Macaca fascicularis: one gene and its partner. The protein of the gene in region 1 interacts with the protein of each later gene in a biochemical or structural test. Links are inferred from orthologs where the notes say so. Each region holds a gene or a part of one and is shown on either strand. Other genes may lie near its edges. The genes, in order: MDC1 and CDC27.

Region 1 (11,328 bases):
TTCAAGACCAAGCCCCATATCTACAACAAATACAAAAAATTAGCCGGGCGCATTGGCACATGCTATAGTCCCAGCTACTCAGGAGGCTGAGGTGAGAGGATCTCCTGAGCCCAGCAGTTGGAAGTTGCAGTGAGCCAACATCATGCCACTGCACTCCAGCCTGGGTGACAGAGTGAGACTGTGTCTCAAAAAGAAAAAGAGAGAGACTATTCAGGGAACTCTCTTATTAGGCTATGATGTTTTTATTTTTTTATTTTTTTGAGACAGGGTCTCTGTCACTCAGGCTGGAGTGCAGTGGTATGAGGAGAGACTATTCAGGGAACTCATATTAGGCTATGATGTTTTTCTTTTTGTTGTTGGGTTTTTTTTTCTTTTTTTTTTTTTTTTGAGACAGGGTCTCTGTCACTCAGGCTGAAGTGCAGTGGTATGATCGCAGCTCACTACAGTCTTGACTTCTGGGGTTCAAATAGTTCTTCTACCTCAACCTCCTGGGTAGCTGAGACTACAGGACTACAGGTCCCTGCCCCCACACCTGGCTAATTTTTTTGTATTTTTTGTAGAGATGGGGTTTTGCCATGTTGTTCAGGCTAGTCTCAAACTCCTGACCTCAAGCAATCCTCATGTCTTGGCCTCCCAAAGTGCTGGGATTACATGTCTGAGCCACCATGCCCGCCCAAGGCTATGACCTTTTTGAGACAAACGTTAAATGTTGTAACTACCACCCTTATTCCCAGCTTTCCTTTAATAACCTGTTGAGATTTATTATTTATGAGTTTATCTAAATCTTTTCTCATCATATTTATTATGTCAACCTGTACTTCCCTTTCCCTCCTCCTCTCCTTTTCTCTCTCTCTCTCCCTCTCTTTCTCTTCCTTCCTCCCTTCCAGGTACCCTAGATGAACCATGGGAGGTCCTGGCTACACAGCCATTCTGTCTGAGAGAGTCTGAGGACTCTGAGACCCAGCCTTTTGACACCCACCTTGAGGCCTATGGACCTTGCCTGTCTCCACCTAGGGCAATACCAGGAGACCAACATCCAGAGAGCCCAGTTCACACAGAGCCAATGGGGATTCAAGGCAGAGGGAGGCAGACTGTGGATAAAGGCATGGGTATACCAAAAGAAACAGCAGAGAGGGTGGGCCCTGAGAGAGGGCCACTGGAGAGAGAAACTGAGAAACTGCTACCGGAAAGACAGACAGATGTGACGGGAGAGGAAGAATTAGCCAGAGGGATACAGGACAGAGAACAAAAACAGTTGTTAGCTAGAGACACCCAGAGACAAGAATCTGACAAAAATGGGGAAAGTGCAAGTCCTGAAAGAGATAGGGAGAGTTTGAAGGTAGAAATTGAGACATCCAAGGAAATACAAGAGAAACAAGTACAGAAGCAGACCCTTCCAAGCAAAGCATTTGAGAGAGAAGTAGAGAGACCAGTAGCAGACAGAGAGTGTGAGCCAGCTGAGTTAGAAGAGAAGGTGCCCAAAGTGATCCTGGAGAGAGACGCACAGAGAGGGGAGCCAAAGGGAGGGAGCCAGGACCAGAAAGGGCAGGCCTCCAGCCCAACACCAGAGCCTGGGGTGGGGGCGGGGGACCTTCCGGGACCTACCTCAGCCCCCGTACCTTCTGGGAGCCAGTCAGGTGGAAGGGGATCCCCAGTGAGCCCCAGGAGGCATCAGAAAGGTAAGTGAAGGCAGAGGGGAACTCAAGGTGATACACAGGCCTCATAATAATCAACCCCTGGGCAACCAGCTGCCTGCAACTCAGCCACCTTTGTGTTTATTTTCTGTCTAGGCCTCCTGAATTGCAAGATGCCACCCACTGAGAAGGCTTCCAGGATCGGAGCTGCTGAGAAGGCTTCCAGGGTGAGAGCTGCTTTTTCTACCTCCTACTCCACAAGTCATCTCTATATCCTCTCCAACGCTCCTTCACCTAGCCTCACTTTAATCTATTCCTTTCTCATTATTCAGTTTTCTTCCATTTTTATCACTCCTTGATTGGCTTCTATTCCTTTATCCTCGGCACCCATTGTTTTCCATATCTGTTTCCCAAGTTGTATCTCCTACCTGACTCCGAAGAAAGATCCTTCGTGTTTCTTCTTTCTTTGCCCCAGCCATCCTTTTCATTACCATCATCCATGTGTGGAGAACACTATAGTAGCATTATGGAGACAGGTCCATGGGGAAAAGTAGCTTCCCAGGTATATCCCAGTCTAATGGAGGAGAGATCATAGACAGAAAGGGAAATCCAGTGAGCATATTTTTTTTTTTTTTTGAGAAAGAGTTTCGCTCTTTTTACCCAGGCTGGAGTGCAGTGGCGCGATCTCGGCTCACCGCAACCTCCACCTCCCGGGTTCAAGCGATTCTCCTGCCTCAGCCTCCCGAGTAGCTGGGATTACAGGCATGCGCCACCACCCCTGCTAATTTTGTATTTTTAGTAGAGACGGGGTTTCTCCATGTTGGTCAGGCTGGTCTTGAACTCCCAACCTTAGGTGATCCACCTGCCTCGGCTTCCCAAAGTGCTGGGATTACAAGCGTGAGCCACCGCGCCCAGCCCAGTGAGCATATTTTTTGTTTTGTTTTTGTTCTTTTTTGAGACAGAGTCTCTCTCTGTCACCCTGGCTGGAGTGTGCAGTGGCGTGATCTTGGCTCACTACAACCTCCATCTCCCGGGTTCAAGTGATTCTCCTGCTGCAGCCTCCCAAGTGGCTGGGACTACATGTGCGTGTCACCACGCCCAGCTAATTTTTATGTGTTTTTTTGAGACAGAGGCTCACTCTGTCACCCAGGCTGGAGTGCAGTGGCGCGATCTTGGCTCACTGCAACCTCTGCCTCCCAGGTTCAAGCGATTCTCCTGCCTCAGCCTCCCAAGTAGCTGGGACTACAGGTACCTGCCAACACACCCGGCTAATTTTTTTTGTATTTTTAGTAGAGACGGGGTTTCACTGTGTTGGCCAGGCTGGTCTTGAACTCCTGACCTCGTGATCCACCCACCTTGGCCTCCCAAGGTGCTGGGATTATAGCCGTGAGCCACTACGCCTGGGCGAAATCCAGTAATCCTATCTAACCATAAACAAGTATCAAGAACAGTATCCAAGTTCTATCTCTTTTCTCCACCTCCTCCCCCTCACTTGCTTCTGTTTCTCCCTAGGGCGATCAGGAATCTCCAGATGCTTGTCTGCCTCCTACAGTGCCTGAAGCCTCAGCCCCACCCCAAAAGCCCCTTAACTCTCAGAACCAGAAACATCTTGCACCTCAGCCCCTTCTTTCTCCCCTTTCACCTTCTATCGAGCCAACCATTCGTAAGACCGGGCAGGATAGGAGTCAGGAAGCTCCAGAGACTCCCTTGTCCTCAGAGCTGGAGCCTTTCCACCCAAAGCCTAAAATCATAACTCGGAAGTCCTCCAGGATGACACCCTTTCCAGCTACCTCTGCTGCCCCTGAGCCCCACCCTTCCACCTCCACAGCCCAGCCAGTCACCCCCAAGCCCACATCTCAGGCCACTAGGAGCAGGACAAATAGGTCCTCTGTCAAGACCCCTGAACCAGTTGTCCCCACAGTCCCTGAGCTCCAGCCTTCCACCTCCACAGACCAGCCTGTCACCTCTGAGCCCACATCTCAGGCTACTAGGGGAAGAAAAAATAGATCCTCTGTCAAGACCCCTGAAGCAGTTGTGCCCACAGCCCTTGAGCTCCACCCTTCCAACTCCACAGATCAACCTGTTACCCCCAAGCCCACATCTCAGGCCACTAGGAGCAGGACAAATAGGTCCTCTGTCAAGACCCCTGAAGCAGTTGTGCCCACAGCCCTTGAGCTCCACCCTTCCAACTCCACAGATCAACCTGTCACCCCCAAGCCCACATCTGAGGCCATTAGGAGCAGGACAAATAGGTCCTCTGTCAAGACCCCTGAACCAGTTGTCCCCACAGTCCCTGAGCTCCAGCCTTCCACCTCCACAGACCAGCCTGTCGCCTCTGAGCCCACATCTCAGGCTACTAGGGGAAGAAAAAATAGATCCTCTGTCAAGACCCCTGAAGCAGTTGTGCCCACAGCCCTTGAGCTCCACCCTTCCAACTCCACAGATCAACCTGTCACCCCCAAGCCCACATCTCGGACCACTAGGAGCAGGACAAATATGTCCTCTGTCAAGACCCCTGAATCAACTGTCCCTATAGCCCCTGAGCTCCCACCTTCCACCTCCACAGAGCAGCCTGTCATCACTGAGCCCACATATCAGCCTACTAGGGGAAGAAAAAATAGGTCCTCTGTCAAGACCCCTGAAACAGTTGTGGCCACAGCCCCTAAGCTCCAGTCTTCCACCTCCACAGACCAGCCTATCACTCCTGAGCCCACATCTCAGGCCACCAGGGGTAGGACAAATAGGTCCTCTGTCAAGAGCCCTGAAACAGTTCTCCGCACAGCCCCTGAGCTCCAGCCTTCCACCTCCACACACCAGCCAGTCACTGCCAAGCACACATCTCAGGCCACCAGGGGCAGGACAAATAGGTCCTCCGTCAAGACCCCTGAACCAGTTGTCTCCACAGCACCTGAGCTCCAGCCTTCCACCTCCACACACCAGCCTATTACCCCCGAGCCTACATCTCAGGCTACTAGGGGAAGAACAGATAGAACCTCTGTCAAGACTCCTAAAATAGTTGTGCCCACAGTCCCTGAGCTCCAGGCTTCCACCTCCACAGACCAGCCTGTCACCTCTGAGCCCACATCTCGGACCACTAGGGGAAGAAAAAATAGGTCTTCTGTCAAGACCCCTGAAACAGTTGTGCCCACAGCGCCTGAGCCCCGTCCTACCACCTCCACAGACCAGCCTGTCACCCCCAAGCCCACATCTCGGGCCACTAGGGGCAGGACAAATAGGTCATCTGTCAAGACCCCTGAATTAATTGTCCCTATAGCCCCTGAGTTTCACCCTTCCACCTCCAGAAGCCAGCTTGTCACCCCTGAGCCCACATCTCGGGCCACTAGGGGCAGGAAAAATAGGTCCTCTGTCAAGACCCCTGAACCAGCTGTCCCCACAGCCCCTGAGCTCCATCCTACCACCTCCACAGACCAGCCTGTCACCCCCAAGCCCACATCTAGGGCCACTAGGGGAAGGACAAATAGGTCCTCTGTCAAGACTCCTGAACCAGTTGAACCAGCAGCCTCTGATCTTGAGCCTTTTACCCCCACAGACCAGCCTGTCACCCCTGAGGCCATACCTCAGGGTAGTCAGAGCAAAACACTGAGGTCTTCCACAGTAAGTGCTATGCTAATTCCTACTACCCCTGAATTCCAATCTCCTGTCACCACAGACCAGCCCATTTCCCCTGAGCCTATTCCTCAAGCCAGTTGCATCAAGAGGCAGAGAGCCACTGGGAATCTTGGCTCCCTCACAGCTCCCATTGACCATAAGCCTTGCTCTGCACCCCTGGAACCTAAATCCCGGCCCTCAAGGAACCAAAGATGGGGAGCAGTGAGAGCAGATGAATCCCTTACAGCCATTCCTGAGCCTGCCTCTCCCCAGCTTCTTGATATACCAACTCATGCCTCCCAGATCCAAAAAGTGGAACCAGCAGGTAGATCTAGGTTCACCCCAGAGCTCCAGCCTAAGGCCTCTCAAAGCCGCAAGAGGTCTTTAGCTATCATGGATTCACCACCACATCAAAAACAGCCCCAAAGAGGGGAAGTCTCCCAGAAGACAGTGATTATCAAGGAAGAGGAAGAAGATACTGCAGAGAAGCCAGGGAAGGAAGAGGTGAGGAGAGGGCTAGGACCACAAAGCTGGGAAAAATGGCTTTGGGGCTCTGAAACTCCCACCAAGATTTTTCTCAATCTCAGGATGTCATGACTCCAAAACCAGGCAAGAGAAAGAGAGACCAGGCAGAGGAGGAGCCCAACAGAATACCGAACCGCAGCCTCCGACGGACCAAACTTAACCAAGAGTCAACAGCCCCCAAAGTAAGAGACAAGGGCATGAGACTTTGTGGGAGACAGAGATGAGGGGAGGATGCAAGGAGACCTGGAGGATTGTAGAGATGGGTGCTGATGGTGTGGGTTGCTGTGACCACCTCAGGTCAACCCTTCCACAGGTGCTCTTCACAGGAGTGGTGGATGCTCAGGGAGAGCGGGCCGTGCTGGCACTGGGGGGAAGTCTGGCTGGTTCAGCGGCAGAGGCTTCCCACCTGGTCACTGATCGCATCCGCCGGACAGTCAAGTTCCTGTGTGCCCTGGGGCGGGGAATCCCCATTCTCTCCCTGGACTGGCTGCATCAGGTGAGAGGCCAAGGGATGATGACAGACCAATATAGTGGCAAGACTGCTCACGTAGTACCCTAGAAAGTTGTGGAAGGGAAGAGGCGTTACAGGAAGACAGGGGCATTAGTGAGCCAGAAGCCTGAATGATTTAAAAGACATTTTGTGAGCTCTCTCTAAATGCTAGGCAGCAGAGCTGGGTGAGGGGCTGGGCTGAGCTTTGATGCTGACTGCTGCTGTCCTTAGTCCCGCAAGGCTGGTTGCTTCTTACCCCCGGATGAATATGTGGTGACCGACCCTGAGCAAGAGAAGAACTTTGGCTTTAGCCTTCAAGACGCACTGAGTCGGGCTCGGGAGCGAAGGCTGCTGGAGGTGAGAGGCTATCTCTTGACCTGTGCTTCAGCCCTCCCTCCAGTGCTTCCCAACCTACAATACCGTCTCCACCATTTTTTCTCTTAGGGCTATGAGATCTATGTGACCCCTGGAGTCCAGCCACCACCACCTCAGATGGGAGAGATCATTAGCTGCTGTGGAGGCACATACCTACCCAGCATGCCTCGGTCCTATAAGGTATGCTTAGGATGTTCTGGGTCTGGATGAGGTGGCAGTAGCAGTTAAAGAGGTGGCTGGAATGGCAAAGGTTGGAGGGGAAAAAAATGGAGGTACAGAAAAGAATATAGAGTAGTGAGAGGGTGGGGAAAGGCCTATGGTATAGAAAGGGATAGGAATGAGGGGACAGATCTGCTGATACACCCATATAACAATCACCGAGATTCAGCAGCTTAATTTAGATTATGCTACTTTTGGTCCATCTATCCCTTTTTTCCTTTGATTTTCTTTGCTGAAGTATTTTCTTTTTATTTTTCTTTATTCTTTCTTTTTTTCCTTTCTCTTTCTTTACTGAAGTATTTTAAAACAAACTGCCAATATTATATTATTTCTTCCTACATACTTAAATATACATCTCTAAGAAATATGTGCATTTTGTTTCATAATCACAATGCCATTATTGATCCTAAACAAAATTAACAGTAGTTTATTGGTCATTTGCTCCCACTCCATTAATAAAATTTCCCCCATTGACTGAAAAATCTCTCTATGCAGTTGTTCAAATCAGGATTCAAATAAAGTCTACATACTGCCACAACTATTATCCTCTTAATTCTCTTTACTCTACAGCATCCCTTAACCCACCCAGCTATTTTTATGCCATCAATTTCCTGCAGAAACTGGGTCACTTGTCCTTTAGAATGTTCCTCAGTGTGGAATTTTGGGTTTGCCTCCTTGTTGCATCATTTATCTTGTTCCTCTGTATTCCATATTTCCTGGAAACTGCAGATAATTGTAAAAGCTTGAATGAATTCAGGTTCATCTTTCTAGCAAGTGTGTTTCTTTTTTTTTTTTCCTTTTTTTTTTTTTGAGACAGAATCTTGCTCTGTCGCCAGGCTGGAGTACAGTGGAGTAATCTTGGCTTACTACAACCTCCGCCTCCTGGGTTCACGCCATTCTCCTGCCTCAGCCTCCTGAATAGCTGGGACTACAGGCGCACGCCACCACACCCAGCTAATTTTTTTTTTTTTTTTTTTTTTTTTTGAGATGGAGTCTTGCTCTGTCACCCAAGCTAGAGTGCAGTGGCGCAATCTCAGCTCACTGCAAGCTCCACCTCCCGGGTTTACACCATTCTCCTGCCTCAGCCTCCCAAGTAACTGGGACTACAGGCGCCTGCCACCACGCCCGGCTAATTTTTTTGTGTTTTTAATAGAGACGGGGTTTCACCGTGTTAGCCAGGATGGTCTCGATCTCCTGACCTCGTGATCTGCCCGCCTCGGCCTCCCAAAGTGGTGGGATTACAGGAGTGAGCCACTGTGCCTGGCCTAGCAAGAGTATTTCATAGACAGTATACGGTGTGCTTCACTTGGCTTCATATTAGGAGGCATTATTTTAGTGATGCTAAGACTGGTTAGTGGGTCCTGAACCCATTTCTAGGATTCTTTTTCACCCCTGATTTTGTCTTTGCTCTGTCTTCCCTAGCCTCAGAGAGTTGTGATCACATGCCCTCAGGATTTCCCTCGTTGCTCTGTTCCACTGCGTGTTGGGCTGCCCCTCCTCTCACCTGAGTTCCTGCTGACTGGAGTGCTGAAGCAGGAAGCCAAGCCAGAGGCCTTTGTCCTTTCCCCTTTGGAGATGTCATCTACTTGAGAACTCCGCTACCCATTTCCCTCCCAGACCACGAATTAGAAGATATTTGGAAGAAAGAACTCAGGGCGTTAGAAAGGATTGGGGTATATTGATACAACTTGTCCTGGAACATGTGTGGGACCAGAAATCTTTATGAATAAATGAAAAGATAAGGCGTTTGGAAGCCACAGGTGGTTGTTGTTTTTGTTTTGTTGTTTCTTTTTTTTTTTTTTTTTTTGGTTGAGACAGAGTCTCGCTTTGTCGCCCAGACTGGAGTGCAGTGGCCGGATCTCAGCTCACTGCAAGCTCCGCCTTCCGGGTTCACGCCATTCTCCTGCCTCAGCCTCCCGAGTAGCTGGGACTACAGACGCCCGCCACCTCGCCCGGCTAGGTTTTTGTATTTTTTAGTAGAGACGGGGTTTCACCGTGTTAGCCAGGATGGTCTCGATCTCCTGACCTTGTGATCCGCCCGTCTCGGCCTCCCAAAGTGCTGGGATTACAGGCTTGAGCCACCGCGCCCGGCCCTGTTGTTTCATTTTTATGGCCATTTTATTTGTAGTTTTTTATTTGTATAGATTTAGGGGATACAAGATTTCTTACATGTATATACTAAATGGCCATTTTAAAATTAGTTTCATGCTCAGATGTCATAAGTGGCAGGTATCTTTAGCTAGACTGTTGTAGTTATTGCTCAATGCCACTCATGGTGTCCTACCTCCTATTTGGAAACCATCTCTATTGTTTTCTTACTGAGATTCTTTGGAGTCAGGAACTTGAAGGGATGCTTGGAGTGAGTAGATTTGAGGGTCCAGTTATGGAGTGCTACTAAAACATTTTCTTCTCTCCTGGCCTCTGGAAGCATCTTTAGCTTTGACTTTGGGCAAGTCTCTGTACTTTTCTGGCCTGCTTTTCCAGGATTTATAAAATTAGAGCTTAGGCTTGACCTCTGTGATAAATAAATATTCACTCTGTGCCTTATGGTGTAGTGTAGTTTTTTAAAATGTCTAGGTCTCAAGACACAAACTTTAAAAAAAAAGTCACAGACTTATATTTAATTCATCATTATTTTCTATTTAGGGCAAATTATAACATTTCTTAAGGGTTTTTTTTTTTTTTTTCTTGAGACAGGGTTTCATCTCTGTCACCCAGGCTGGAGTGCAGTGGCACCATCTCAGCTCACTACAACCTCCACCTCCCAGTTCAAGCAGTACTCCCACCTCAGCCTCCTAAGTAGCTAGGACTGCAGGCACACACCACCATGCCTGGCTACTTTTTTTTTTTTTTTTTTTTTTAATTGTTTAGTAGAGACGGGGCTCTGTTAAATTTTTGTATTTTTGGTAGAGACGAGGTTTTGTCATGTTGCCCAGGCTGGTCTCTAACTTCTAACCTCAAGTGACACACCCACCTCAGCCTCCTGAGTAGCTGGGATTGCAGGCACATGCCACCACGCCTAGCTAATTTTTGTATTTTTAGTAGAGATGGGGTTTCACCATGTTGGCCAGGCTGGTCTTGAACTCCTGACCTCAGGTGATCCACCTGTCTTGACTTCCCAAAGTGCTGGGATTACAGACATGAGCTACCATGACTGGCTTTTTATTTTTTTGAGACAAGGTCTCACTCTGTTGTCTAGGCTGAAGTCTAGTAGCTTGATGTCAGCTCACTGCAGCCTTGACCTCCTGGGCTCAAAACGATTTTCCTCTCAGCCTCCCAAGTAGCTGGGACCATAGGTGTGTGCCACCATGCCTGGTGAATTTTTGTATTTTTGGTAGAGACAAGGTTTTGTCATGTTGCCCAGGCTGGTCTCTAACTCCTGACCTCAAGTGATCCACTTCAGCCTCCAAAAGTGCTGGGATTACAGGCTTGAGTCACCGTGCCCAGCCAAATTTAAAATGTAAAAGATGATTACAAGGATGTGGAGAAATTAGAATCCTTATACATTGCTGGTAGGAATATTAGATGGTTCAGCCTTTGTGGTAAGCAGTTTGATGGTTCCTCAAAAAGTTAAACATATGGATGGGCACAGTGGCTCACACATGTAATCCCAGCACTTTGGAGGCCAAGGCGGGCAGATTACTTGAGCTCAGGAGTTCACGACCAGCCTGGGCAACATGACAAAACCTTGTCTCTACCAAAAATACAAAAATTCACCGGGCATGGTGGCACACACCTATGGTCCCAGCTACTTGGGAGGCTGAGAGGAAAATTGTTTGAGCCCAGGAGGTCAAGGCTGCAGTGAGCCAACATCAAGCCACTGCACTTCAGCCTGGGCAACAGAGTGAGACCTTGTCTCAGAAAAATAAAAGGCCAGTCATGGTGGCTCATGTCTGTAATCCCAGCACTTTGGGAAGTCAAGACAGGTGGATCATCTGAGGTCAGGAGTTCGAGACCAGCCTGGCCAACATGGTGAAACCCCATCTCTACTAAAAATACAAAAATTAGCCAGTCATGGTGGCAGGCATCTGCAATCCCAGCTACTTGGGAGGCTGAGGCAGAAGAATTGCTAGAACCTGGGAAGTGGAGGTTGCAGTGAGTTGAGATTATGCCACTGCACTCTGGCCTGGGTGATAGAGCAAGACTCCACCTAAAAAAAAAAAAAAAAAAAAAAAAAGCCCGGGTGCAGTGGCTCATGCCTGTAATCCTAGCACTTCGGGAGGCTGAGGCGGGTGGATCATGAGGTCAGGAGATAGAGACCATCCTGGCTAACACGGAGAAACTCCAACTCTACTAAAAATATTAAAAATTAGCTAGGTGTGGTGGCGGGCGCCTGTAGTTCCAGCTACTCAGGAGGCTGAGGCAGGAGAATGGCATGAACCCGGGAGGCAGAGCTTGCAGTGAGCTGAGATCGCGCCACTGCACTCTAGCCTGGGCAACAGAGTGAGACTCTGTCTCAAAAAAAAAAAAAAAAAA
Region 2 (11,827 bases), on another chromosome or scaffold:
CTTAACAGTGTTGAATATTAAAAGGATGCTTGAGGCTGGGGCGGGCGAACTGCTTGAGCCCATGAGTTTGAGACCAGCCTGAGCAATACGGCAAAACCCTATCTCTACAAAAATACAACAATTAGCTGGGAGTGGTGGGGCATGCCTGTTGGTCCCAACTACTTGGGAGGCTAAGGCAGGAGGATCCCTTGAACCTGGGAAGTAGAGGTTGCAGTGAGCTGTGATCGTGCCACTGCATTCCAGCCTGAGTAACAGAGCAAAACCCTGTCTCCAAAAAAACAATGCTTGTGATAGAGGAAATTGTTAATAAAAATGCAAGAACTGAAGGAAAATTGAAGATTTATAACTTTCTACTTTAAAGCAAATCCTAGTCACTCAAAGAGGGAAAATATATTCCAATTTCAGTGGGAGAAGAGTAACGAAGCAGCACATAGATCAAAGCCCTAACAAAGGACTATACTACAACAGATCTGGATGATTAATAATCAAGTTTTTTCTGTAAAACCTGGACCTGGATGTTAGCCTACAGTAGAGTTTATATTTAAAAATGCTAGGCTGGGCACGGTGGCTCATGCCTGTAATCTCAACACTTTGGGAGGCCGAGGTGGGCGGATCATGAGGTGAAGAGATAGAGACCATCCTGGCTAACATGGTGAAACCCCGTCTCTACTAAAAATACAAAAAAAATTACCCGGGCGTCGTGGGGGGCGCCTGTAGTCGCAGCTACTCGTGAGGCTGAGGCAGGAGAATGGTGTGAACCCTGGGAGCTTGCAGTGAGCTGAGACTGTGCCACTGCACTCCAGCCTGGGTGACAGAGTGAGACTCCATCTCAAAAAAAGAAAAAAAAAATGCTAGAGAGGGCTGGCCATGGTGGCTCATGCCTATAATCCCAACACTGTGGGAGGCCGAAGTGGGCGGATCACCTGAGGTCGGGAGTTTGAGACCAGCCTGACCAACATGGAGAAACCTTGCCTCTACCAAAAATGCAAAAATCAGCCAGGCGCAGTGGTGCATGCCTGCCGTCCCAGCTACTTGGGAGGCTGAAGCAGGAGAAGCACTTGAAACTGGGAGGTGGAGGTTGTGGTGAGTGGATATCGCGCCATTGCACTCTAGTCTGGGCAACAAGAGTGAAACTCTGTCCCCCCCACAAAAAAAAAAAAAAAAAAAAAAAAAAAAGCTAGAGAGGGCTGGGTGAGGTGGCTCACGCTTATAATTCCAGTGCTTTGGGAGGCTGAGGTGGGAGGATTGCTTGAGGCCAGGAGTTTGAGATCAGCCTGGGCAACACAGCAATACCCTGACTCTACAAAAATAAAAAATAAAAAATGAGCCAGGTGTGGTGCTGCATGTGTGGTCCTGGCTTCTTGGGTGGCTGAGGTGGGAGGATTGCTTGAGTCCAGGAGTTCGAGGCTGCAGTGAGCTATGATCATACTACTGCACTCCAGGCTGGGGGTCAGAGCGAGACTGTCTTAAAAAAAAAATGCTAGAGAAGACAACTTACAGTTACCATTAAACATGACTTGAAACCTCCAGAGGAAGTCCAAAACTAAAATATAACATTCTGAACATACACTAATGCCAAAAGTGCCCAGTTGTATCATTTAATAGCTGAGCCTGTTTTCTCTTTTGTAAAATGAAGTAATACCTACCTTCTACTGTTGAGAATTGAAAATACCATCCACAAAGCAAGCAACACAATCCATAGAGCAGGATCTCAACAAACACAGCTTTTTAACAAAGTTTGCACTTACAGAGAAAAATAAAACCTGTACTGAACCTTTATGAACCGTGAGTTGTCAGCTAAACAAGCCAAAGAATAGTTCCATGTCTAAGCTGCTGTTTATCCTTGTTCAGCTGACATTAAATGGCAGGTCCTAGGGAAGGTTATGAGGTCTGTGTTGTTCCCCTTGGAACTGCCCAGCTCACCCCACCTTCATGTGTTTTTCCCTGTTACTGCCTTTTCTTCAAGTCTGAATAAAACCCTTCAGCTCTCTGTACTTTCTCCAAGATACCAAAAAAAAAAAAAAAAAAAAAAAAAAGATTTTCAAATTAGAGTAAAATTCAGTTTCTACATCTTCTTTCAGATCCTGACCTTTTTAAATAGATTCTAATTGGAACAAAAAACCTTTGTGTCCCTTTTGAAGAAATTTCAGAAATCATGTGATCAAAGGATAAGCAGTTGACTTGCAAATTCACAGCTGCTGGTTGGCAACAGGGCTTCTGTAGTTTGAAAAAAGGTATTCTAAAAATTACCATTGTTTTTGTCATAGTATTTATTTTGATATTCCAAATAATACTAAAAAAGAGTATGACCGTTTAAAAATATAAATATATTAAAAGAGTGTAAGTTTTAAAAAATTAGATAAACATTGCTCTAGATTTTTGTGAAACATAAAATTGTATCTCTATTTTTCTGTGCCTTCTTATGAAAATACAGATGGCACAGCTTTCATATAGCTTTAACAACTTGATTATAAATTGCTTTCAAAAGTAACTTATTTGGATTTTCCATATCCTTTAATGAATTGCAAATATATTAACAGAAAAGACTTTCCCCCTCAAGACTGTACAATTTCTGAAATAAGTCAGTTAAAGCAAAAAGAAGACACAAAATTACATTGTTTCAATGCAAACAGAACACACACTTCACACCCACACTTGCATTTTCCCAGGTTTTCACAAAGAAAATGGGTCACCATATTTCTCAGTGAAGACTCATACTATACTCTGGCTAATCAGAGACTTCCAAACTTTTTTCTTCAAAAAGAGCATTTTTAATAGACTAAATACTGGTTATCACTGAGTTTTTGTTTAAGGTACAACAGCAGCATGGTTCAAATGTTACTTGTAGTTCTTGGAAAAATCAAAAATTTTAAGTGATGAATACAGAAAATGTAGGGACCACCTTTCATTATTTTGAGTACCACTGTTCTCTTGAAAAAATATTCTAACCTTCTAAAATCCCAGAGTTAAGAACCATTTCCAAGGGGAAAAACAAATCCAAGGCCACAGCATAGCTTCTGAACAAGTGTGTGTGCATATATATGTATTAGGTTGGTGCAAAAGTAACTGCAGGTTTTGCCATAAAAGTCATGGCAAAAACCACAATTACTTATGCACCAACCTAATATATGTGTGAAACAGAGAAAAGGATGTCAAACTACTTAATTTAATTTCTGTAAAATAAACTTCTGATGTTTGAAACAAACATTTTGCTTGATCAAAATGTGTTCTTCTTCTGGTTGTTTGATCCCCATTCCATGCAAAAAACAAAACAAAAAAAGAAACTGTAAAAGCCAGAAAGTGTTACAAGGTGGGAAATAAGGCTTCAGATACCTAATGACTTTAAAAGTAGGTATGAGGAAAAATAAAATAGGCCAAGCTTGGGCGGAAACTGTTCCCCAGCCAGCCATTGCCATGGCGTGTCTTACAAAACGATCCTTTTATCCTTGGTCTCAAAAAATCAGTACCAGAAAGACTCTCACCTCTGGCACAGGACATAAATTCCTACTATAAAAAGATAATTATACTTCAGCAAATTATGTTCTAAGCTTAGCTTTCTCCAGGCTTTATAACGCAGAACTCAGGTTGAAGCTTTCTATAAAACTCTAAATGACACTGTTACACAGCACCTTGTGCTTTGCCAATTAAAAATATAAAAGAATCTAAAATTACATATTACAGAACTAATGGATAATACAATAGCATATGTGTTAGAATCCAAGTGCTAGCCTCTGGGAATTTTTCATTACATTTATTTTCTCCCAACTGTTCCTTTTTTTAAAAAAGTATTTTTTTAGACAGTACATATACATAAATTTAGGTAGGGAAATCTGTTAAATATTTCTCTGGCACCTGATACCTAAACACCCTGACTTGAATTAATTTATAATTGTACCTAATCCATATTCAAATGAGATTAACAGTAAATTATAGAAAATTACTGAGTCTACAGGCTAAAATTTTTTTCACATCTTTTGTAATCCACCTTATTTTCACAGCTTGACTAACAAATACAGGTAAGGTTGTCCTTCATCAAATAATCCAAAATAATAACTGTAGGCCTGTCATTCATAAGAAACTATAATTTGTTATATTCTGACATTGGCACTTAATAAAATGTTAACAACTAAAGTTTCTCTAAAATTTCAATACATTACAATAAAGGAGATAAACAATTTAAGACTGTTTAAATCTGTTATGGTGGAATTCCAATAATTATCAATTTATATGCATAATTAAATTCTTAAAATTGTGGCCATTTCCCAAAGACACCAACTGATATTATGACAAACTCAGAAGAGAACCTATCTCCTTCTTAAGAATGTTTCTTCCCCCAAGCTAAAAATTTCCAATATCCTAAACCCAATTCTTAGTAAATGTTTTGGTGACTCACACTACTGAAAAAATCTGAAGCAGAGAGTCAAAAAGAATGGAAAGGATCTCAACCAAAGATAACCGCACATTCTTACACTCTGCTTAAGCAAACACTTAGAAAAGTCAAAGGGATAATGTTTTGAACAAATATAGATTCCAGGTTATGGTACAATTCTGATTATATTAAGGCTTTCACTATCATGATCTCTTAAAGTCTCTACACTTTAGTGTTCTCATTCTGATTGATATGGTGAACTTAAGGGATTATTAAGGGCCTTGTTTTGGCTTCTCAGTGGGGAACCACTCTATCATCTCTGAATGTTAAAGGTGATCCCACAGAGCTCAAAGAGAAGAGGCAATATGGTATGAACCAATTTTAAAGTCTGCAATACCAAGACAACAATGATCAACACTTTGAAGCAAGATGAATAAATTAAAATTCTTGGTTAGACATTAAAGCATTCTTGCCAAGAATAAGTGTACACTGTATGGAGGGATATTTGATTCCTACATACGAATCCCAATATGCCCATTACATTTGTTTATGGGAGACACTGCAAGTTGAAGGTAATTTACATTCCTTGGCAATCAAGTTACTGTTATAGGCAACGTCTTTTATTGTTCCATCTGGCACTTGCAAACACCATTCTTGAAGAACCTAGAAATGACGGTCAGTTACTCTGTTTATCAGGAACAGAACCAAATAAAAACAAATTTTTGAGAAAGCAACCAAGAAATTCTGGTTCATCACTATTTTCCATATCTAATGGTTCCTTCAAGATAAAACATAACTCTTCCTTTCATGATACTTTCCAACAAAGGGAGATTAAAGAAAAACAGAAAAGAAAGTCCCCACCCTACCCCCCATAAATTGTCATTCATACTGGTAAAAGAGCCAGTCTTGTTAGCAGCTAAATATTGCACTGCCTTTCATTCCGTATACAGTCAGGGTCCAATGAAAGTGGCACACTCATGGTATAAGTGATGGATGATGACACCGCCGGCTCAAGAGTAAAGACTCAGTATATGGAGGGACAAGAAACATGTCAGCACTAGTCACACATCCAGTTGTAAAAGTCCGATTTCCAGAAGTTAAAATTCATCACTTTCAGCTGCATGAAGTTGTGTGTCATCCGCATCTGTCATGCTGCTCTCCTGGGATTCATCTGTTCCCACTTTAAAAATAAAACAAAAGTCTACAGTAAGGTTTCTGACAAACATATCCTGTTGGTTCACGAAAACAAGAAAAATTGTATTATATTCAGAGAGATAAAACCCTAAATAAAGGCCCTTAAAAATCCTCATATCCTTTAATAAAATGCAACTCAAGTTTCCTAACTTTGTAATAGGTCTGACATTAGCTTACTGCATTTTACTTTTAAGGTTTTAACTACCAAAACTGCCTCTCCCTAATGGGTTCCTTATTCCTGCCCTAGGAATTACAACTAGCTAGTTCTCTGAGACATTAAAAAAAAAAAAAAATTGACATTTCCCCAACCTCCAATCACTGACTCCACTTTAAGAATACTTCCTGCTAGTCCACAGAAACATAGACTATAACCTTCAGTTTCAAAAGGTTTATGGGGTCTATCTATCTATCTATCTATTAATCAATCAATCATCTATCTCGGTCTGTCACCTAGGCTGGAGTGAAGTGGCACAATCATAGCTCACTGCAGCCTCAAACTCCTGGGCTCAAGTGGTATGATTCTCCTGCCTCAGTCTCCCAAGTAGCTGGGACTATAGATGCATACCACCACATCCAGCTAATTTAAAAAATTTGTTTAGAAGCAGGGTCTCACTGGCTCGTCGTGAAATCCTAGGCTCAAGCAATCCTCCCACCTCAGCCTCCTGAGTAGCTGGGATTACATACACAAGCCATCATGCCTGGCTTATAATTTTTTTTTTTTTTGAGACAGAGTTTCATTCTTGTTATCCAGGTTGGAGTGCAATGGCATGACTTCAGCTCACTGCAACTTCAGCCTCCTGGGTTCAAGCGATTCTCCTGTCTCAGCCTCCCGAGTAGCTGGGATTACAGGTGCCTGCCACCATGCCCAGCTAACTTTTGTATTTTTAGTAGAGATGGGGTTTTACCATGTTGGTCAGCTGGTGTCGATCTCCTGACCTCAGGTGATACACCCACCTCCGCCTCCCAAAGTGCTGGAATTACAGGCCTGAGTCACTGTGCCTGGCCCCGTGGCTTATAATTTTAATTAAAGGTTTTCACCAAGTTTTCTGGAACAAAGGCATCTAATCAGAATTTACCTTGTCAGAAATTTCTCTATTCTCTTATTTAAAAGACTACATTCTTAGGAAGCAAATAAAACACTACTGGTTACATATTCAAACATAAATTGAGGCCCAGGTAAAAATTAGCAATGAATTTATCAAAGTCACACAGCAAACTAGATCCAGAACAGAGACTAATTATCTGACTTTATATGCATTTTGTTATTATATCACCCTGTTCAATTTCCCTAAAAGTTCATTTGGTAACACCACGGTTAGAAAAATAAAATAAAGGAGTAGCCTACAAATCCTTATGCAAAAGGTAACTTTCTAAATACTCAAAATCATATGTGTGATACTTACTGATCTGTTCTTCTTGGGTTATTGGCTCCTCATCATCTGGAAGATAGCGCTTATCAATTGCCTCTTTAATCTGGTTATTGGCTCCTTTAGGATCTAAATCCATAGCCCAAGAGAAATTCATCAGGGCGAGGTGCGTTTGACCTAACTTCTTGTAAACCTAAAAATAAACAGCAATACTACATTTTTCATTAAGTTGTGAGCTTCAACTATAAAATTCTAAATATTTATATATTTATTTATTTTTGAGATGGAGTCTTGCTCTATTGCCCAGGCTAGAGTGCAATGGCGCGATCTTGGCTCACTGCAACCTCTGCCTCCCAGGTTCAAGCAATTCTCCTGCTTTAGTCTCCTGAGTAATTGGGACTACAGGTGCCCGCCACTGCTCCTGGCTAATTTTTGTATTTATAAGTAGAGACAGGGTTTTGCCATGTTAGCCAGGCTAGTCTCAAACTCCTGACCTCAGGTGATCCACCTGCCTCAGCCTCCCAAAGAGTGCTGGGATTACAGGCGTGAGCCACAGTGCCCAGTCTCTACAGTTCTAAATATTTATAATTTAAACTAGGCTCCTGATTTATGTGATCTAAACTTATTCTAACGGTAGGACATTTTCTTCCTACAGATGAACTCATACCAGCTTTTGAGTTCCTTTTCATATAATCAGATATTATTTTCAGAATTCCTTGCTTCTATCTTTCAGGTAGTAAGTTTCCAATAAATATCACTCTGACTGGAACAATGATAATGGGATTAAATGGATTATAAATTGCTTAATTAACTTTCATTTACAGTGATTTTAAATTGAGTTATATCAACTCTTAACAACTGTCTACAGGCACCTTAACTAATTGGCATATGGGGGTCTAGTATGTAAAAAACTGACTAGTCTGGCCTTGGGACTCTCAGAAGCCATTTCTCTTAATCAAGACAACACAGTGCCATTCATGTTCTTCTTCTTCTTTCTCTTTTTTTTTTGTTTCTGAGACAGAATCTTGTTCTCTTGCCCAGGCTGGAGTGCAGCAGCGTGATCTTGGCTCACGGCAACCTCCGCTCCCGGGTTCAAGTGATTCTCGTGCCTCAGCCTCCGGAGTAGCTGTGATCACAGGCATGAGTCACTACGCCCAGCTAATTTTTGTATTTTTAGTAGAGGTCGGGTTTCACCATGTTGGTCAGGCTGGTCTTAAACTCCTGACTCAGGTAATCCACCTGCCTAGGCCTCCCAAAGTGCTGGGATTACAGGCGTGAGGCACCGTGCCCAGCTAGGATATCATTTTCTCAAGTGTTAGAACCAAATCTGTTATTCCCAGAGCACTCAGTTTGGAGCTTTAGTTGAATTTGCTCAATAGATATTGTACAGTAAGTATTAAATTTATTCTTATAAAATGTCAATATTTGCTGTGAAAGTCACTGTTTGGGACCACGGCCCCAGTCTTTACCTTTCCTATTAAGAAGTAAACGAGGGATTCTTTGGGAACAATTTGTTTCAATTCTTCAAGTTCTTGTAAAGCAGACTGAAAAAGGCAAAGAAAAACCTTAAAGTATCAAAAATTTTTAAAGTTTTGACCAAGCAATTTTTTTATTTGATTTCCCAAATCACCTTCATAAAAGCTAACTAAATCTTAATCAATATACTTCCTTATTGTATTAGTTCTTATTGTTGTGAAAATAAAACGCATACTTAAAGTAAGTACTAAGAAATAGCAGGCACTCTAGTACACTGAAAACACACACACACACAGACACACACACACACACACCCCTCTTTGTGAAATATGCAGGTGGTGACAATCCTTGCTTTTGGTCATCTATCTATCTATCTATTTATTTTTATTTATTGAGAAGGAGTCTCGCTGTCGCCCAGGCTGGAGTGCAGTGGTACAATCTCTGCTTACTGCAATCTCTGCTTCTCAGATTCATGCAATTCTCCTGCCTCAGCCTCCCGAGTAACTGGGATCACAGGCATGCACCACCACACCCAGCTAATTTGTGTATTTTCAGTAGAGACGGGGTTTCACCATGTCAGCCAGGCTGGTCTTGAACTCCTGACCCAAGTAATCTGCCCGCCTCAGCTTCCCAAAGTGCTGGGATTACAAGCGTGAGCCACCGTGCCTGGCCCAGTGATTTATTTTTTAATGAAAAATAACTATATAATTTTTCAGAACAACAAAAAGTCATTGAGAAGAGTGGCATTAACATTTCTGCAAGTCTCTGTTAGTAGAAGACAGCTAGATTCTCACATCTATCTCCTCCATTTAATCTGTTTTGATATCACATATTATGTAGCTTTTGGAAAATTCTACTGTCCATTTGGGACAGAATGAAGACTGAAAAAGGTAAATAATGTCAAGACATTATTGTAAAAATAGCTCTGACCTCTAAGACTCTTTAGAATAATTTTAGGGACCCCCAGAAGTTCCCAGACCACTTCTGAGAATCATTAAAGAAATCTTTTTCTTTTTCTGAGACAGACTGTCATTCTGTCACCCAGGCTGGAGTGCGGTGGTGCGATCTCTGCTCACTGCAACCTCTGCTTCCTGGGTTCAAGTGATTCTCCTGCCTCAGTCTCCTAAGTAGCTGGGATTACAGATGCTTACCTGTAATTCCTGGCTAATTTTGTCTTGTATTTTTTTTTTTTTTTTTTTTGAGACGGAGTCTCGCTCTGTCGCCCAGGCTGGAGTGCAGTGGCCAGATCTCAGCTCACTGCAAGCTCCGCCTCCCGGGTTTACGCCATTCTCCTGCCTCAGCCTCCCGAGTAGCTGGGACTACAGGCGCCCGCCACCTCGCCCGGCTAAGTTTTTGTATTTTTTAGTAGAGACGGGGTTTCACCGTGTCAGCCAGGATGGTCTCGATCTCCTGACCTCGTGATCCGCCCGTCTCGGCCTCCCAAAGTGCTGGGATTACAGGCTTGAGCCACCGCGCCCGGCCTTGTCTTGTATTTTTAGTAGAGATGGGGTTTCACTATGTTGCCCAGGCTAGTCTTGAACTCCTGACCTCAGGTGATCCACCTGCCTTGGCCTCCCAAAGTGCTAGGATTACAGGCGTAAGCCACTGCGCCTGGCCTTACTTTAAAGAAATCTTTTTTCTTTTTGAGATGGAGTTTTGCTCTGTCACCCAGGCTGGAGTACGGTGTCATGATCTTGGCTCACTGCAACCTCCGCCTCCCGGGTTCAAGCGATTCTCCTGCCTCAGCCTCCTAAGCAGCTGGAATACAGGTGCGTGCCACCACGTCCGGCTAATTTTTGTATTTTAGTTGACACAGGGTTTCACCATATTGGCAAGCTGGCCTCGAACTTCTGACCTCAAGTGATCCTCTCACCATGGCCTCCCAAAGTGCTGGGATTACAGGCGTGAGCCATCATGCCCAGCCTTTAAAGAAATCTTTTTTTCCCCCCCGAGATGGAGTTTTGCTCTATCGTCCAGGCTGGAGTGCAGTAGCTCACTGCAACTTCTGCCTCCCAGGTTGAAGCGATTCTCCTGCTTCAGCTTTCCAAATAGCTGTGATTACAGGTGCCCGCCACCATACCTGGCTAATTTTTGTATTTTTAGTAGAGATGGGGTTTCACCATGTTGGCCAGGCTGGTCTTGAACGCCTGACCTTGTGATCCACCCGCCTCAACCTCCCAAAGTGCTGGGATTACAGACGTGAGCCGCTGTGCCTGTCCTTTAACGAAATCTTAACCTTCAAGATGACAGACTCCAATCCTCCTTCACTGCTACAACACACCCAATTCAGAACTGATACGTTTTCTTGCTATGACTGCATATTATAATTGTTATCAACATTTCATGCAACTAGCATGCCTATCCCCACCCCCAATGATCTAATTACAAGGATTCATTGAGAAATAGTATCTAACACAGCATCGGAGTTCTTTTACCCTAAAGACTTAAGATTTAAATGATTAAATATCAGCACAACACATTAAATAAGGTGATGGCTAGCAATGTTTTAGAGATGTTGAAATGGTCCCCTTGATTTTCATTTTGGAGCCAGAAAATCTCAGAAGCAATCATTAACTTTTCTTTCTTGTTTTCAAGTGACTAATAAATGGCCCATGACACAGTCCCAGGAGATCCTGAGAACATGTACCCTTTAACTTTTCTTTATGCCCTTTTCATACAGTCACATATCTATATCTAGTCCATGCATCAAATTAGGCCTCATAATTCAGTGAAGCTCATACCCCAAAATGCCTGTAACTGGGAGTTTCTCTGAGTCTACTGTGGCTCAGGAGGCTGCCTGATATAATAATGATAATGACAATGATAATAATAATAATAATAATAATAATACTAATAATAACAAAAGAGGGAGTCTCTCTGGTCCTACTTTGGATTAGAAGGCTGCCTAATTAAACAAACAAAGAAAACCCCACAAAAATGGCTATAACTATATATATGTCATAGTCCAGACAACTGATGAGATTAGAACTTGGGCTTCTTGAAGCAAGTAAAGGCTGATTTATGTGGCCTATCTGGTAGGTATGTTGGTATTAAAATGGCTTTAAGAATAATGAATAAAGTCCTTCATATCTAAAGAAATACAATAAAGCAAGTACATAAAAACAAATACTGATTTGCAATTATAGTACTTCAAAGAGTAGTTAAAAGTTGAAAAGGGTTTATTAGATTTAAAATAAGCTTAAAAAAATTTTTTTTTTTTTTGAGACAGAGTCTCCCTCTATTGCCCAAGCTAGAATGCAGAGGTGTGATCTGGGCTCACAGCAACCTCCGCCTCATGGGTTCAACCAATTCTCATGCCTCAGCCACTCGAGTAGCTGGGATTACAGGCATGCACCACCAGGCGTGGCTAATTTTTGGATTTTTAGTAGAGATAGGGTTTCACCATGTTGGCCAGGCTGGT

Evidence for each region.
Region 2: the proteins of MDC1 (region 1) and CDC27 form a complex in vitro, tested with the Homo sapiens proteins (2 studies listed by BioGRID). The link is inferred for Macaca fascicularis from reciprocal best matches to the Homo sapiens genes MDC1 and CDC27.

The regions. Positions count from the first base shown.
Region 1 is NC_088378.1:141,947,569-141,958,896, forward strand, and holds the end of MDC1 (mediator of DNA damage checkpoint protein 1), read left to right. Parts: intron 1-887; coding exon 888-1,679; intron 1,680-1,790; coding exon 1,791-1,861; intron 1,862-3,146; coding exon 3,147-5,747; intron 5,748-5,830; coding exon 5,831-5,950; intron 5,951-6,065; exon of another isoform or gene 6,066-6,081; coding exon 6,082-6,264; intron 6,265-6,489; coding exon 6,490-6,615; intron 6,616-6,702; coding exon 6,703-6,813; intron 6,814-8,274; coding exon 8,275-8,442; 3' UTR 8,443-9,399; downstream 9,400-11,328. UniProt on the Homo sapiens protein: Histone reader protein required for checkpoint-mediated cell cycle arrest in response to DNA damage within both the S phase and G2/M phases of the cell cycle.
Region 2 is NC_088390.1:68,095,054-68,106,880, forward strand, and holds the end of CDC27 (cell division cycle protein 27 homolog), read right to left. Parts: intron 8,475-11,827; coding exon 8,400-8,474; intron 7,124-8,399; coding exon 6,967-7,123; intron 5,550-6,966; coding exon 5,467-5,549; 3' UTR 2,496-5,466; downstream 1-2,495. UniProt on the Homo sapiens protein: Component of the anaphase promoting complex/cyclosome (APC/C), a cell cycle-regulated E3 ubiquitin ligase that controls progression through mitosis and the G1 phase of the cell cycle.